2 linked regions of the Oreochromis niloticus genome follow. The protein of the gene in region 2 interacts with the protein of the main gene of each other region in a pairwise test. Links are inferred from orthologs where the notes say so. Each region holds a gene or a part of one and is shown on either strand. Other genes may lie near its edges.

Region 1 (7,845 bases), on a different chromosome or scaffold from region 2:
TTCTGGGTGTGACTAACTTTTATTGTTCATCAGCAATAAAATTCTGATGAACAATAAAAGTTCTGCTAGTGCCTCGTTAGCAGAGATGCCTGTGAAGACAAAGAAACAAAGAGCAACTTTTCATAATGCAAAACGCATTATGAAAAGTTATGATTCACAAAATGCAAAGATTTACATGTTTTACGTTTACGTTTTATTTTCCAGGCCTGATGGGGCTGTACCAGGTGACGTTTTGGTGCTGACTAAACCTTTGGGCACTCGGGTGGCTGTAAACGCTTATCTGTGGATTGATCAGGTTAGCCATTCAACTCTGTTCACAGAAATATTAAGTGCAATGTTGCCACAGGAAACCAATTGAGTTTCCTTGTCTGCATGTTTGGGATCATTGTCTTGCTGAAACATCACCCTCGTTTCATCGTCATCATCCTGGTAGATGGCAGCAGACTTTTATCACGAATGTCTCAGTACATTTTTCCATTCATCCTTCCTTCAGTGTTATATGAAGCGTGCTAGCGCCGTATGCTGTAAACAGCGCCACACTATGATATTAATTGGCACTAAGTGGCGGAATTGCTGTCTAGTTACTGGTAGATTTCAGCTGGTATCAGGAGTTCCCATGCCCTTTTGTACCTCCCTTTCATCACATGTTCAGTACCCTGTGTCATTTCTAATTTTTACATATAACCTAGTTTATGGACATCTATGGTTTGATTTCTTTGCTTGTGTGAATTGGATGGGTGGTTGACAATATCTGGTGAGAATTGCATGTCGATACATTTGAAAAAATGTTTACAAGAAAGACAATACTTATTGGTTACTTACTGGTCACATGAGCTAAAATTGCTCCAGTGCTTTAATGAAACGCCCAAGACTGCTGACAGTGTTCGTGTCCATGTAACAAGAAAATGTTTTGTTTGCTGACAGTTCTCCTTCCTGAAAAGGTTCACAGCTGCCGTGTGTGGGTTATTGTGCATGTAGAAATGTATAGAAGCACTGGATTGCTCATGAAACAACCAACCTGGGCTTTGAAGATTAATGTTCTTGTTGCTGTTTTTGTTTTACCAGCCTGAAAAGTGGAACAAGATCAAGCTGGTCGTCACCAAAGAGGAAGTTATAGAGGCCTATCAGGAAGCTATGTTTTCCATGGCAACCCTTAACCGCACAGGTACACTACTTTGATTAAGCTCTGCAGTCATTAGTGGTCATGCAAGTGTATTATTAGTTAACTATTTAATTAAATAATGTTTAAATTACAGTTGGCAGACTTTATATCAGCTGTTATTGATTAATTTATTTTCCCTTTTCTTTCTTGTGGTTTTACTCTGGCTCATTCACATTTTGCCTCCAGCGGCAGGTCTAATGCACAAGTACCAGGCCCACGCTGCCACAGACGTGACTGGTTTCGGCTTGTTGGGTCACGCCAACAACCTGGCAAGACAGCAGCAAAACGAGGTGGCCTTCGTTATCCATAACCTTCCAATCATAGCCAAGATGGCTGCCATCAGTAAAGCCTGCGGAAACCTGTTTAACCTGCTTCAGGGCACTTCAGCTGAGACTTCCGGTATGACCGGTGACATTAAACGTGGTTATATTTGAATAAATGCAGTATTTAAAGCTAGGAACTCACATCCCTTCTCCCCCCTCTTCTCCAGGTGGGCTGCTGGTGTGTCTGCCCAGAGAGCAGGCAGCCAAGTTCTGTTCAGAGATGAAAAACCTCAGCTCTGGAGCAGGGGGTCAGGGGGCGGTGGGCGGGGCATGGATTATTGGTATCGTGGAGAAAGGCGACCGCCATGCTCGCATCATTGACAAACCCCGCATTATTGAGGTTCCACCCCGAGGAAGCCAGGCAGCAAATCAGGAAAACAGCTCCACCAGCCCTGACCCAAGCCCCAATGTGTCATAGACACTGTCACCCTCTGATACTGTTCTGGTGTGTGTGTGTGCGAGAGAGAATGAGTGTGTCTATGTGTGTATTAATTGTTGTTCATCCCATCTACCTTTTCTGTCAAAAAGTTGACAGTGCACAGAAGAAACCCAGTGTCATGTGATCCACTGAGAGAGGAAATGGACCACAGGCAGCATCCATCTCCAGCTTTAGAAGAAGCTGCGAAAACATGGTGTACTTCTCATGTTTCATGTTGTAACTTCAGGGCACAATGCTGTACTGCCTCTCTCACCATTATTTTTCCCTGTTGCCTTTCATATAGAAAACTTGTTTTATATGATTTATCAAAATCATAAACAGCTTCTGGAAAATTAGTTTCAGTTCTATAAAAAGGAAAAATACTGAATCATACTTGCCCAAAGTAGCAAATAATGAGATGTGTGTGTGTGTGTGTGTGTGTGTGTGTGTGTGTGTGTGTGTGTGTTATGGTTGGATTCGGGTGATTTATTTTAGGATGGATGGCTAACATTAAATGTGTTAATTTGGTGACGGTTTAATGTGGAAAAGAAATGATGTGTCACTCCTGGAACCTGGCACTGCCCACACCATCCAGAGGAAGGTTTGAGCAGCTTCCTTTGGGACCCGTTGGGCTGTGTTCAGATTGTCCACCTGGATTGACAGTCGACTGACCGCCCAAGCACAAAGTCCGCCCTTCCTTGTTAATGAAGCTCTGTCTTTCAAAACCCAACCAGCAGGGCCGGGCAGAGTGGATGTTTGTCTCTGGATCAGGGATTGGACTTTCAGTGCTGGAGGTCTAGTGCTGTCTGTGTTTGTAGATCTTTTGCTTTTCACAATCAAATAAACCCATCATCAATTTAGACCAAAGTGCTGTTTGGGTCTTATGCAACTGTAGTGTAAGGCACATTTTCATTTTTACACAAAGTTCACTGAAAAGTGCTAAGAATAACATTTTAAGGGGTTTGGGGCAGTCTGAAGCCTGATCTTTTGCCTCACAGGGATTAGTACATACAATGAGTTCATTATTTGAACCTTCGGTCATGTTTAATACAAGCATACACCAGTCATGTCAGGACTGTACTGCCATGTTGTTAGCATCAGTCATCCTGCTTGCTAGTATATTTGTAACATTAAGCTGCTCAGACAGCTGCTCCATCACTGGTGTTGACTTGGACATTCAGACATTGTCCAAGCTCACAAATGTTCCTCTCAAATAATATTCATTTCTAGATTAATAGCTACTCCAGCATTTTGAGATTAAGACCGTTGACCCATTTTACTTTGGGGGACTGACACACACACGTTCACTGTTTGTTTTGGTTTCTTCAGTCAAGATCATGCTAAATGGGGCATGTGCCTCATTTAGCATGATCTTGTTGTGGAAGACAAAAAAAAATCCACTGAGACCTACCTGGAGTAAATAGAGTAGTATTGATCTACTGGGTGGATCAATATATGCAAAAGCACTGCTAACGGTTTTTCAGTTAAATTCTGGATTTTGTCATCTTCAAATGGCTACGTGTGCAGAATGTTATGGCGGCATACGGCCTGATTTACACTGGGTTACCAAAGTGATCTGTGTAAAGATAGCTGATCCCTGTGTGTTTGCATGTAAACCTGATGCTGTCTGAGGGATTTCCATGGAAATCAGTGAGTCCCTCCCCGGACAACACAAGAATAAGTACACAGGAGTAGGTTGAATTTTGGTTAATTTTAAATCACCTTATTTGTGCCACCATTTTTGATCCTGCATAAACATCAGTGCAGGATAAAACGAAGATGAAATGTTCTGGACGGAAGAGATGCATCACATGTTTTCTGTAATTTCAACCAAATCAATTTGAAGCAAAATGTAACAATATTGAGTCAAAATCATATTGTTTTCCCCATTTTTTCCATAACCAACTTTGAGCATCAGCATCATGGGATATATCAGTTTCAATAGGAAAACTTCTACAATTTAATGTTTAATGTAAAGGAACTGAACTCTTGCTGCTACTCTCCTAGCTTCTGACTTTCCACGTATGCATATGGACCAACATCCATGTGCATGATTAAAAAAATTATTTTCTTTTGATTATAGCAGTCTTGTCATAATTATTTGAGTTTATTCTTATGTTATATAAAGTCTCATTATCGGCCAAGAGTAGAAAAGGACTGTATGGTCCCAGACATCCAGGCTGGTGTTGTCGCCTCTTGGCCAGGACTCCCTTGAAAAAGAGGTTCTTAATCTCAATGGGACTTTTCCTGGTTAAATAAAGGTTATATATATATCCAGGGACCTGAAAGATCATTTAGTTTAATAGTTGGTTGTTGGGTCTACAAATTTGATCTTTTTTGCTGTATGTATTTACTTTTCTGTTTTAAGCAACACTATGCTCAAAGAAAGAATGTAACAAGGGTCACTGAAAGTCAACAGTTTCTTGGGTGCCTGCAGTGGGTTAATCCAGCTCTGCTCTGGGCAGTTAAATCTATAAGACTGTACCCTATGTCGGTCTGCACACGACTAACAACCACTGTCAGATGGAGTAATTGGAGTAAAGTGCAACATTTTCCACCGAAATATAAACAAAGTATCAGATCTGGGCGAGTATTGCCTTTGTCGTGCTATACTCACGCCAGCCAGCAGAGAGCAGCGTGGGATTAAACCGAGAAAAACAACGATGAAGAAGAAATGCGGACGTGTAGAGGGAGTAAATATTCTAGTCATTTTTGTTGTGTTGTTACGGATGAACTTCGTCCTTCGAAGTGCTAAACGGTAATGCTCTTAAAATTAGCAAGTTCGTGTGTTGCTGGGTCATATAAAAGGTTTGCGTTTTATCTCATCGGCTGAACGCTGGGTCACCGGCTGTGTTGTCAAACCACCAACCAGAGATGCAGTTGGACCTGCTTGTTACTGACAAGCAGAATTATATTTTCTGTCTCTTAGCCACCATGCCTTATCTGGGTGGGGAGGAGACGGTCAGGGAGCTGAGAAGAGCTCTGTCCAACCCTAACGTCCAGTCAGACCCGCTGCGGTACAGGAACACCATCCTCAAAGTGATCAGGTACTCATCTCATCCCTGTGCTCAGCCACCAGGCGCTGCGGTTTGTCTGCAAGGCCGCATTCATCTGTCAAAGGGGGCCCGGGGCACACATTTGCTTTTGAGAACCTGCTTACCACCCCACCCCATCCCCCATGCAATTTAAGTTAATTGTCACTGTAAAAGCAGGTGTTAGCTAGCAGCTAACTGGAAATACGAAAGAGTGACATAATTTTTATGGGAAATTACAATAAAGCTTTGTTGGTTCTGAAGATGACTGCTATTGTTGTAGATTTACGTGCATATGTGTGCATAAGGAAATCAGCTTCATTGTAAATGTGCAGATTCCACGTTTATGAGAGATAAGAGTTTGGCAGTCTTTTATTAGACATTGACTTCTATTCAGTATTCTATTCAGAGGTTATTTATTAAAATCAGAGGTAATGCTGTGTGCTTACCTGGTGGAGAGCAGGTTGCTCATCTTTGAAACTTTCCACACATAAGGAGACATACTCAGAAGATGCTGGTTCTCTTCGGATCTAGCTTGATATGTGAACAGACATTCTCAGTAATGAAGTTTAACAAATCGAGATACAGTCCCTGCACACTTGTCTCAGTACATTCTTCCAACTGCTGACGAGTCATAAGCATCTAACTGTGAATAAAAAGAAAATGAGATAATCGCAGTGAAAATGGTTGCAAATTGTTGTCAGCGTTGTTAACATTTTGATTATTTATTGTGGAAGCTCAAATTGATGAAATTCATTTTACACCCAATTGAACAGTTCCACATGTGGCTCGACTCACTATGATTCATTTTTGTGTGTTTTTTAAAGTCTCTCTCTTTGCTGTGTCTTTGAAGGAAAGAGAGCTGAAGTGTTGAAACAACAGAAAAAACAGTGAGCTGCTTAATTTAACATCCAAGATGTGCCATCGCAGAGATTAGCTGCCTACACCCACTTTTAATCGGGTTGTGTTAACAGATGCGTTAAAACTGTATTCAGTTTGTGAAACACTGGTGTAGACTACATATTACAGACAATGTGGCAAGTTAGGTAACATTAAACAAACACATAAAACTTACTAGTTATCTAGTTCTAGTTATTCAAATACAATTTGAGGATCATGAAAAATACGTTTCCCCCGAGAAACATCAAAATGGAAGGCTGTCAGGAGATGGACCCAGGAAAACACGGCTCTTTTTTACATTGGCTTCATTGTTAAGACCCAAAGTTCCATTCGCCTTTTATATGAACAATGTTGGAAAGGAAAGTGAACATATAAGGATTAAACAGCTCCTAGGTCCTAATCGTACCCCTCAGTAGTAACATTCTGTTGTTTTGACTAATACTCCCCTTTGTTTCAATGGCTTAAGACCAGCAAGGACTAGTGACATCTCACTAACATCACTGCTGACTGGGGGCTTATCATCCTGTTTTCACTATGAAGCAGTAGATTATTTGAAGGAAAGACGTAAGCTGAAGGTTTAAAGTGAACTTATTTTTTTCCAGTAATGAATGTTGATATTAAACACTGGGCAACATTAAAAAGAAAATTAAGTCACTATATGAAGATATACAGTACTGTGCAAAGTCTTGAGCCACCCCTCGTTTCTTTATATTTTGCTTTCAGGACCCAGACTTTCTTGTATGTTTTTTTTTTTTAAACAATATTTCACAAGGTTTTTTTAAAGTGTTTCTTTAGACCTCAACTTCTTCTTTACTCATTTCCAGTCCAGTCCTTGTACCTGACTGTTTTCAGAGGGGTGTTTGTTGTTTGTTTTATACACTTATCACTAACTTATGAATGAAGCATTAAAGCATAAAAAGATGCCTAACTCAAGGGATTGTGTCTACACATAACAGACAACTTAGCAAAGACCTAATTTGTGTTTTGTATTCTTTGTATTATTTAGGCTCTTTGTTACTAGCAGCTTTGCAAAAATACATAATTTGGTCCAATTTCTTCTGTTAAATTTACAGAAATGCCAACAGTAATTCAGTTTGAAAGACATGAAATAGTATTTTTGCTCTAATGAGGTTAAAACTATTAGCCTAAAACTATCTCAAAATGATGTGCAGGCTGCCCCTAAAGAAACTGAGGACAAAAGAAGAAGTGGCAGGCTTAAGAAACACTGTCTACAGCAGTTGAATGGTGTCTGAAAACATGGTGGAGGCTCTGGTGGTTTGGGGCTGGATTTCAGCCGGTGTGTTGGGGAGCATGACAGAACAAGAACTGATGAAGACAGAAAAGTACTGTCAGATTTGATCTACTGTGCAAAAGCATCTGATTGTCAGTGGATCTGTTTGTCAGCACGGCAATGATTCCAAACAGAGTACCAATGCAGTAAAAACAAACCTAAAGAGAAAAACCCACAATGGTGCTCTTGCCTCCCTAGAGCCCAGACCTGAATATTATTGAAGCAGTGGGGGATCATCTTGGTAGAGAACAGAACAAAAGGCAACCAGCTTCCAAAGAAGAGCTTTGGATCTCTTTCAAGAAGCCTGCAGAAATATTCTTCTCTGCAGTCACACGTTCTTTTAAATATCTGGGCACTGACAAAGTTTTGTTAGTAAGAAGAATATTTTTGTTAAACGTCATGTTAAAATGTTTTCCTGTGTCCTATCATTTCCATGTGTCTCTTTCCCCATTATTCCTTTTCCTCTAATCTTTCTTTCTCTATTTCAACTCTGACTGTCCCCTCTTTATTCATTCCCGCTTTTGTCTTTCTTCTTGTTTATATGTCCCCCTTCTACTTCCCCTTCCATTTCAGGACCATGTCACAAGGTGTAGATGTGTCTGGCCTGTTCAGTGAGATGGTGAAAGCCTGTGCCACAGTAGATGTAGTCCAGAAGAAATTGGTTTATGTCTTCCTGTGTTCCTATGCCACTTTAAACCCGGAGCTGTCCCTGCTGGTCA
Region 2 (7,172 bases):
CACCCACTCACATTGCCTCTTAACATAATCTGTGTCCACACCTGCCTGTTTAAGGCTACAGTGTAGAAAAGCGTGTTAACTGGAAGTAGTAGATTATTAACTGTTTCCTGTCTGCCCCCCTCACCCCCAGAGTCTGGCCCTAGTTTTATTAAGCCTCCTAACTAATGCCCTGTTCTCTGAGCAGGTCGTTACTTATTTTAATTAAATGTTTTTGTATGGTTTGTTTCCATGTAGAGGGTCAGCTGGACCACGCGGTGCTTCTGCAGGTCATTAAGGAGCAACAAGAACAACAGAAAAGGCTTCTGGACCAACAGGAAAAACTATTGGCTGTCATAGAAGAACAACACAAGGAAATCCACCAGAAACAACCTGCTGGTGTGTGTATATACCCATTTTTTTTCTTTTTGTAGTCATGACAACTTGTAAAGAAAACACAGCTATTATAGGTGGTGGCCCTCAACTTAAATGTGATATTTTTGCATTTAAAGGGGGCGCTGCTGAAGGCGATGGTGAGAAAGTCATCCAAGGACAACCAGAGATGATGGAAGGTGGAGCAGCAAAACCTAAGGAGTCTGGACTGGAGCAGTCCAAGGAGGGAGCTGGAGCTCCACAGGATGGCGGAAATGAGGCTCATGCTCTGGCCCAGGGTCAAGCTCAGGTTGAAGATAAAGGTGCTGAAGCTAACCCTGCAAAAGTAGCCGTACCAGCAGCTTACAAAGAGGATGCAAATGTTGCACTCGCAGGAGAATCACATAAGGAAAGTGAGGTTGGGGCGAGGGGAGTGCCATTGGGAAAGCAAAAACTTGAACCTGTGGCTCAGAATGACCATGCAGCCCAGTTACAAGAAGAAGAGGCAATTGAAAAACTTAAGAAAGAAGTGGTAGGCAAAGAAGATCAAGGAAAAGAACAGCTGGAGAGGGAAATAAAGGAAAAGCTCGCCAGAGAAGAGGAGTTGGAGAGGGAAAGATCAGAGAGAGAAAGGATAGAGAAAGAAGTTCAGGCAAGATTAGAAAAAGAACGGCTAGAAATGGAGAGAAAAGAAAAGGAAAGGTTGGAGAAAGAAAGGATAGAAAAGGAAAGACAGGAAATGGTGGCCAAACAAGAGTTGGAGAGGGAGAAGATAGAGAAAGAAGTTCGAGAAAGGCTGGTAAAAGAACGACTGGAAAGGGAAATAAAAGAGAATCTGATCAGAGAGCAAGAGCTTGAGAAAGAAAAAGCATTAAAAGAGAAACTTGCACGCGACAAAGCTGCAAAAGAGCGATACGAGCAAGAGCTGCAGAAAGCGGACAATGAAATACTTGAGAAAGCAAAGAAAGAGGCGGCATTGCAGGAGGCTCAGGAGAGGCTGCTTCAGCTGCAGCAGGCCATAGAAGCTCAAAATGCTGGAAAAGCTGCACAGGGGGGCGAGAGAGTTGATGGTGAGGCTTTGAAGAAAGGAGGACGAGACCTCAAAGAGAACGCTGCTGCTCAGCCAGAACCCGGAGAAGGGGAGGAAGATGGCGAGGTTCACCCCCAGGGCTCCCACGAGAAGGTTAGGAAGCAGGGAGAGATAGATCTGAAGCGGAGGCGTAGGTCACTCGGAGAGGCTAGAGGGCCCCTGGAGGACACTGAGGCGTCCAGGGGGGTTCCAGGGTTGGAGCCCCTGCTGGAGCTGGGGGGGCCAGATCTGCACGCAGCCCTTGAGGGGCAGCTACTGGCTGGGGCAAGGGTACACACACGGCAGATTAAACAGGCCTCAGAGGATGAAGAAGCTAAATAACACACACACATTCTTATTTAGCGGTCAAACACATACTGTAGACCTGCAGAACCTCCTAATACTGTGGACCGTGATATCGCTGCCTTATATTCTCTTTTGCCTTCAGAGTTGTTAAGAAGTGGACCGTGTTGTTTTTCTTGATACTGTGTAATCTGCCAGGAACCCAAAGTCTTTATCAAAGCAAAAGTGTATGTAAATATTAACTTATTTTTGTTTCCAGAGAAAATTTTGAAAAGGTCAAACGGTTTAAAAAGGTTTAACGTGTATATACATCTATGCAATTACCTTTCTGTGGAGCGTTTTTGACAGGAACGATATTCGTATTTGAGTCACATGTACTCCTTTGGTCATTCAGTTGTTCCTTGGTCTTTGTAAATGTTGTAAATGCTTTTAAATGTGATCCATGTATTTTCTTATAGAACCCGGTTACCCCAAATTTAATGTACTGTGGCTTCAGGCCCCTTGATAGTGTTTTTGCTTCATGCTTTCAAAATGAGGTATTTAACTACACGCTGGAGTTTTGAGATATAGAGTAGCCTTACTATTTCCATAAACTGTGGACAACAGAGCAGCTCAAACCAGACAACCTGGATCAATACCTGTAGTTTCTAATCATTCCATCTTTATTCCTAGTATTTCTTCCAGGTTGATTTATTAGTGCCTTCCACTTAACATACTACAGCCTATATTTTATTCAAACAAAATGTGCAGTTTTTCCCCTCAATATCTGGTCTTTTTCTTCCACTAAATGATCTTATTTGAAGATATAATAATGGAAGGTATTTTGGACTTCTGTATTGTCTTTCATTGGCTAGCACTTCAACACATTGGACCTTTGCTTTATAAAAGAGGCTATTTTTGTGACTATTTTTCTACATGCATGTTATTTCTGTACATTTTGCTGATAAAAATTAATAAAGCTCATATATCGAAACATCAAAGTCAGGGTTTTATTTATTTATTTATTTATTTATTTATTTATTTACACACAGACACACACAGGTTTTCACGTTAAAGACTATGGCAGTTCTTAATGGCTTATCTCAACCACACCGACATGAAAAACTGTTCCCAGCATCAAAAGTCAGTCAACTCGGTCTTCTTGAGATTGGTCCAGATAAGCCTGGATGAATTCCATTCATCTGGCTCTTTTTTTGGCCTGTAATAAAAAACAAATATATAAATAGGTAAATGGATAGCATTAAACAGATCTCCTTTCAGTGTGACAGTTGCTGACACTGGCACTTACTGCATTGGTAAAGCAGATCTTCAGTGCTTCAAACTCTTTGGCACACAGATCCTTCCTCAGCTCCTGTGTGCCTGTTGTGGTAGCAGCTACACACTTTCCATACACTGCTGCCTGAATAACACAAATTAAAACTTCACAGGAAGCACATTTGTCCATGTAATAAATAACTGCATTACTTTAATTATTTGGACCAATGTTTTATTAACAAATTTCCACTGTTTTGTTTATTAAGAACTGGCACATTAACTTTATTGCCAACAATTCACCAGAAGCTAAACCATGCTCTAATATGTTAATTAGTAACCTACATCCTGAGATAATAAAGTGCACGGCAGCACGTGTATATTGTTAAAAGCTTAAATGAGGAAATATTTTGGATGTCCCCTACTGGGAGCTGCTGTAGAGATGGCAGCTGGCTTTGATGGGAGAGGCAGATAAGTATAATCATATTTAATGAGAAGAAGAGAGGTTCCAGAGTTGAACCCGTTCAAAGGATAATCTACCAAGCAGTATTTTCCCATCCTGTACTTACCTCGTTCGCACACTGTGCAAAAAGTTCCGGGAAAAGTCTCATTTTCTCCCTAGTGCGACTCCAGACATTTGACCCAGACATGCTGCTGCTCAGGCGTAAATAGATTTGTTTTAATATCTGGTAAATTTTTTTAAGTCAACGATTAAAAAAAGAAGCAGCAATATTTTCGTGTCAAGTTCTTAAAATCTCTGACAACTCAAAAGAACCGAAATTATTTTTATATCAACTAACAGACGGCGCTCCGGTGAAAACCCTGTGCAGCGCCATGTTGACGACTGTCTACGCCCATAAAAATCCTGAACTATGATTCGTTCATTTCCTTGTCAGTCAAACCGTTTCTGACGGTTGATTTGTTATCTTTTACCTCCTGGTTTAACCAGAACGCCAATAGAGTCGAGGATTGCTGCTTAGTGTTTTGTTATTGGCTAGCGGTCACCTCAAACCCCGCCTTTCTGTCGTACGCCTCGAAGGAAGATGAGTAACCCGCAGCTGGGACTGCTAAATCATGGCAACATTTATGGAACGATTAGCCTTTCTTCAGAAAGTAAGTAATATCGACAGTCGTTATTTTTAAAAAAAGAACACAGAGAAGCCAAAACGAACATGTTAAATGTCACGTAGCGTTGACGTACTTATTTAAATCTATTAGCTTTTGCGAAACCATAGCTTTCTTTTAGCCTGCTAGCTAACAACCTTAACCAACATCTTTTGGCTTTTTACTTTCTGTGTTTCACTGGACGTGTCAGGTTGTTTCGTTAAAACTTAATGCTGCACACTGGTTTAAGGGTCAGTTTGCGGTCAACTGAAGTGGTAAACCACAATTTCGTCTAACTATCCAAGGTGCCCACCCTGATGAAGGCTACAGCAGATGATGAAAACCCCTGTCCTGGCTACCTTTTCCAGGAGATTGGAAGTATCCTTTAGTTGCTTCTGCTGTTGATCTGCAAAAAGTTCCTACTCCTGCTGGCCTCTTTTGCATGTTAGGGCTGTATAAGTAGGCTGTGGCCATGACTTTACATAGTCACTGATGGATACATACCTTGAACATGGCTATGATAGGTTAAAATGATATTTTTCTGTGTGTGAAGTGTGTTATCAGTCAAATGTTTATACCCACTGAACCATGGGAATAGTAATTCCTGTATGATGAAGTGTTATAACCTTAATTCTAAGCACACTGTAGAAATCTCCCATGAGTCTTCAGGTTGTGGTCAGTGTTTGTTGGAATACCTCCTGGAGAGGCTACAAGTGGAGTCCTGTCATGTCAAACTGAAGGTGAGAGAATTGCTTTTGCTACTGTTTCTGTCTCTTTAAAGGACCTGTACATTGCTGATTGCAGTTTATGAGTAAGTGTGGGTTCTGTTCTTGCTTCTGGTGTATCAGGTGCTGAAGATCTTTGTCCACCTCTGTGGTCATGGGTCCAACCATTTCCTCACAGAACTCAGAAGGAACTCCACCTTCATCCAGCAAGCATCCGGTTAGACTTTTCTCATTTGTGCTTTCAACTTTCATTATTTTGCTGCTGGCATCGTTCATAAATATTCACTTTGGGTAATTTTTATTCGATAAGTTTACAGCGGCCCTCCTGATCCCATCCATGGCACAGCATTATATGAGAAAGTGAGGAATACAGCACAGGTACAACACGGGTTGTTTTGTATTTTCATCTCAATATAGTCAGTTATACAGAAATGGAAGGTAGCTTGAATAAGAACTTTTTTTTCGTTGTTCATCCATTTACAGGAAGTGGCCCGCTTACTTTTCACAGATGTCATTCCCTCCAAAAACAGCATTTCTTCACTTAATCTTGCCCCACCGACAATGGGTAAGTGCTAACACACATTGATTATGACCATAAACGGCACTCATCTTTAAAAGATGGGCAGGCGGCCGGGCGACGTGGACACCCAAGTTTGTGAAAGTGATAACTCAAAAACGAATTAGAAAGTATAATTTTCCTAATCAAAGATATAAGCTTTAAAGACTTAGGAACCCAAATATATGTACTACATCCTGTATGCCAAACTATTGTACATCACTTTGCTACCAGGTTTGACTTTAGCTCCATGTAATAAACAAGTAATAGAAGAGAATGGGTATCTGTAGATGGGATGAAAGAAGTAGTCATTGAATTGCATTGTGTGTACAATAGTTAATTTGTTTCATTCTATTTAGGTATGGGATCGGCCACTTCCCACAGATCAGGAATGCAGGGTTTTGGATACAGTCCAAGAAAGCAGGGGACAGGTGAGGGAAGCAGAGCTGCACAGTACATACAAATCAAACTTACTGCGTGTGTAAATTTCTGGACCTGTGCCTTCCAGCAGGCAGCGACTCACTTCTGGATAAGATTCAGAAAGCAGCTGAGGTGGTGGCGAGCGCTGTCCTTCCCCCTACTGAGCATCAGGGGATCCGTCTCCATGACAACCATTACCGGGCCGTGGTGGCGCCTTCTGCACCCATAGAAGTGGCCGTGCCAGCGTGTGCCTATAATCTGCCTGCTTGTAGACCGAAAGGTCAGAAATGAAGCTGGCACAATTACGCATTTTATTGAGGCAAGATTGAGAGAAAGTATAAACTGAAGCCTTAGTAGCGAACAGATGTTTATAAATTAAGGTTTTCCTCATGTGTCTTCACTTCACCAGTGACTAAGTGGTGCCCTGGGCAGGTAGGAGGTGGCTGGGAAGAGACGGACAGTGGCAACAGCTCCTCTCACAACTCCTCTCAGGACATCGCTGCCAATAGCAGGGCGTCGGTGGGCAGCAAGTCAGCTGGCACAGGAAGCCAATCAGGGACCAGCAGAGAGAGCAGTGGGGACCTATCAGATCGGTCAGTGTCAAAAACGTTTAACCTTTTTAACACATCATGCACTCGAGTCTTTTTTTTTCTTTTTAATGCATTAGCTGAGAGCAGGTACTGGATTTTAAACAGACTTTACCCAATGCCTGTACAGTGACAGTGCATATCTCCTGTTGTGTGACACACAAGAAAAGGAAACCTCAGAAAATTGTTCATGTTTGAAGATGGTTTTAGTTTGTTAAACCAACTGTTTTCATTCCAGTGCAGTCACATTCAGGAGCTTGTAGCATAATCTCCAAATGTTCTGTGTGCAGTTTGTGTAGTTTAATGTTTACTGGTCACTTAAGAATAAAATTCTTGCCAGGATTGTTAGTTTTTCTATGCAATAAGTCATGTTCCTGAGCATTATAAGCACAAAAAACCTGTGTTTTCTTCAAGTTTGTTACTTTCCTCTCATACTTTGTGTGGTTTCCAGGGTGGAGGCCTTGCAGCTAGGGGATTGTGGTCAGGAGATGGCACTCATCAATAAACTGACTGAAGGCTCCAAAGTTTTCCTTTCCAGAGAGGAGAGCCAACACTTCATCAAAGAGTCAGTGCACCAAAATCGCATTGAAAACACAACAGCCTGGGCTGGTTCTTTTCTATGAGCTGGTTTCTCATTTTTAATTAGTTTTTTATTAAACTTCTGATTGTATTCAGTTGCCTTTTTTTAATATTATTAATTGAGCTTTTTCATTTTATTACACACACATATATATATATATATATATATATATATATATATATATATATATATATATATATATATATATATAGTATTTTTTTTTATTGGT

What was found. The genes of interacting proteins can lie anywhere in the genome.
Region 1: the proteins of tepsin (region 2) and ap4b1 interact in binary tests that used the Homo sapiens proteins (3 or more experiments, as listed by UniProt). The link is inferred for Oreochromis niloticus from reciprocal best matches to the Homo sapiens genes TEPSIN and AP4B1.

What each region holds. Positions count from the first base shown.
Region 1 is NC_031984.2:33,205,947-33,213,791, forward strand, and holds the start of ap4b1 (AP-4 complex subunit beta-1), read left to right. Parts: upstream 1-4,542; 5' UTR 4,543-4,777; coding exon 4,778-4,950; intron 4,951-7,699; coding exon 7,700-7,845.
Region 2 is NC_031973.2:20,314,362-20,321,533, reverse strand, and holds the start of tepsin (AP-4 complex accessory subunit Tepsin), read left to right. Parts: upstream 1-3,913; 5' UTR 3,914-4,045; coding exon 4,046-4,084; intron 4,085-4,325; exon of another isoform or gene 4,326-4,380; coding exon 4,381-4,453; intron 4,454-4,723; coding exon 4,724-4,815; intron 4,816-4,923; coding exon 4,924-5,017; intron 5,018-5,110; coding exon 5,111-5,178; intron 5,179-5,283; coding exon 5,284-5,365; intron 5,366-5,715; coding exon 5,716-5,787; intron 5,788-5,864; coding exon 5,865-6,056; intron 6,057-6,185; coding exon 6,186-6,369; intron 6,370-6,814; coding exon 6,815-6,928; intron 6,929-7,172. Other genes in the region: slc38a10 (putative sodium-coupled neutral amino acid transporter 10), read left to right, coding at 235-375, 489-1,759; ndufaf8 (NADH dehydrogenase [ubiquinone] 1 alpha subcomplex assembly factor 8), read right to left, coding at 2,898-2,918, 3,009-3,119, 3,541-3,621. UniProt on the Homo sapiens protein: Associates with the adapter-like complex 4 (AP-4) and may therefore play a role in vesicular trafficking of proteins at the trans-Golgi network.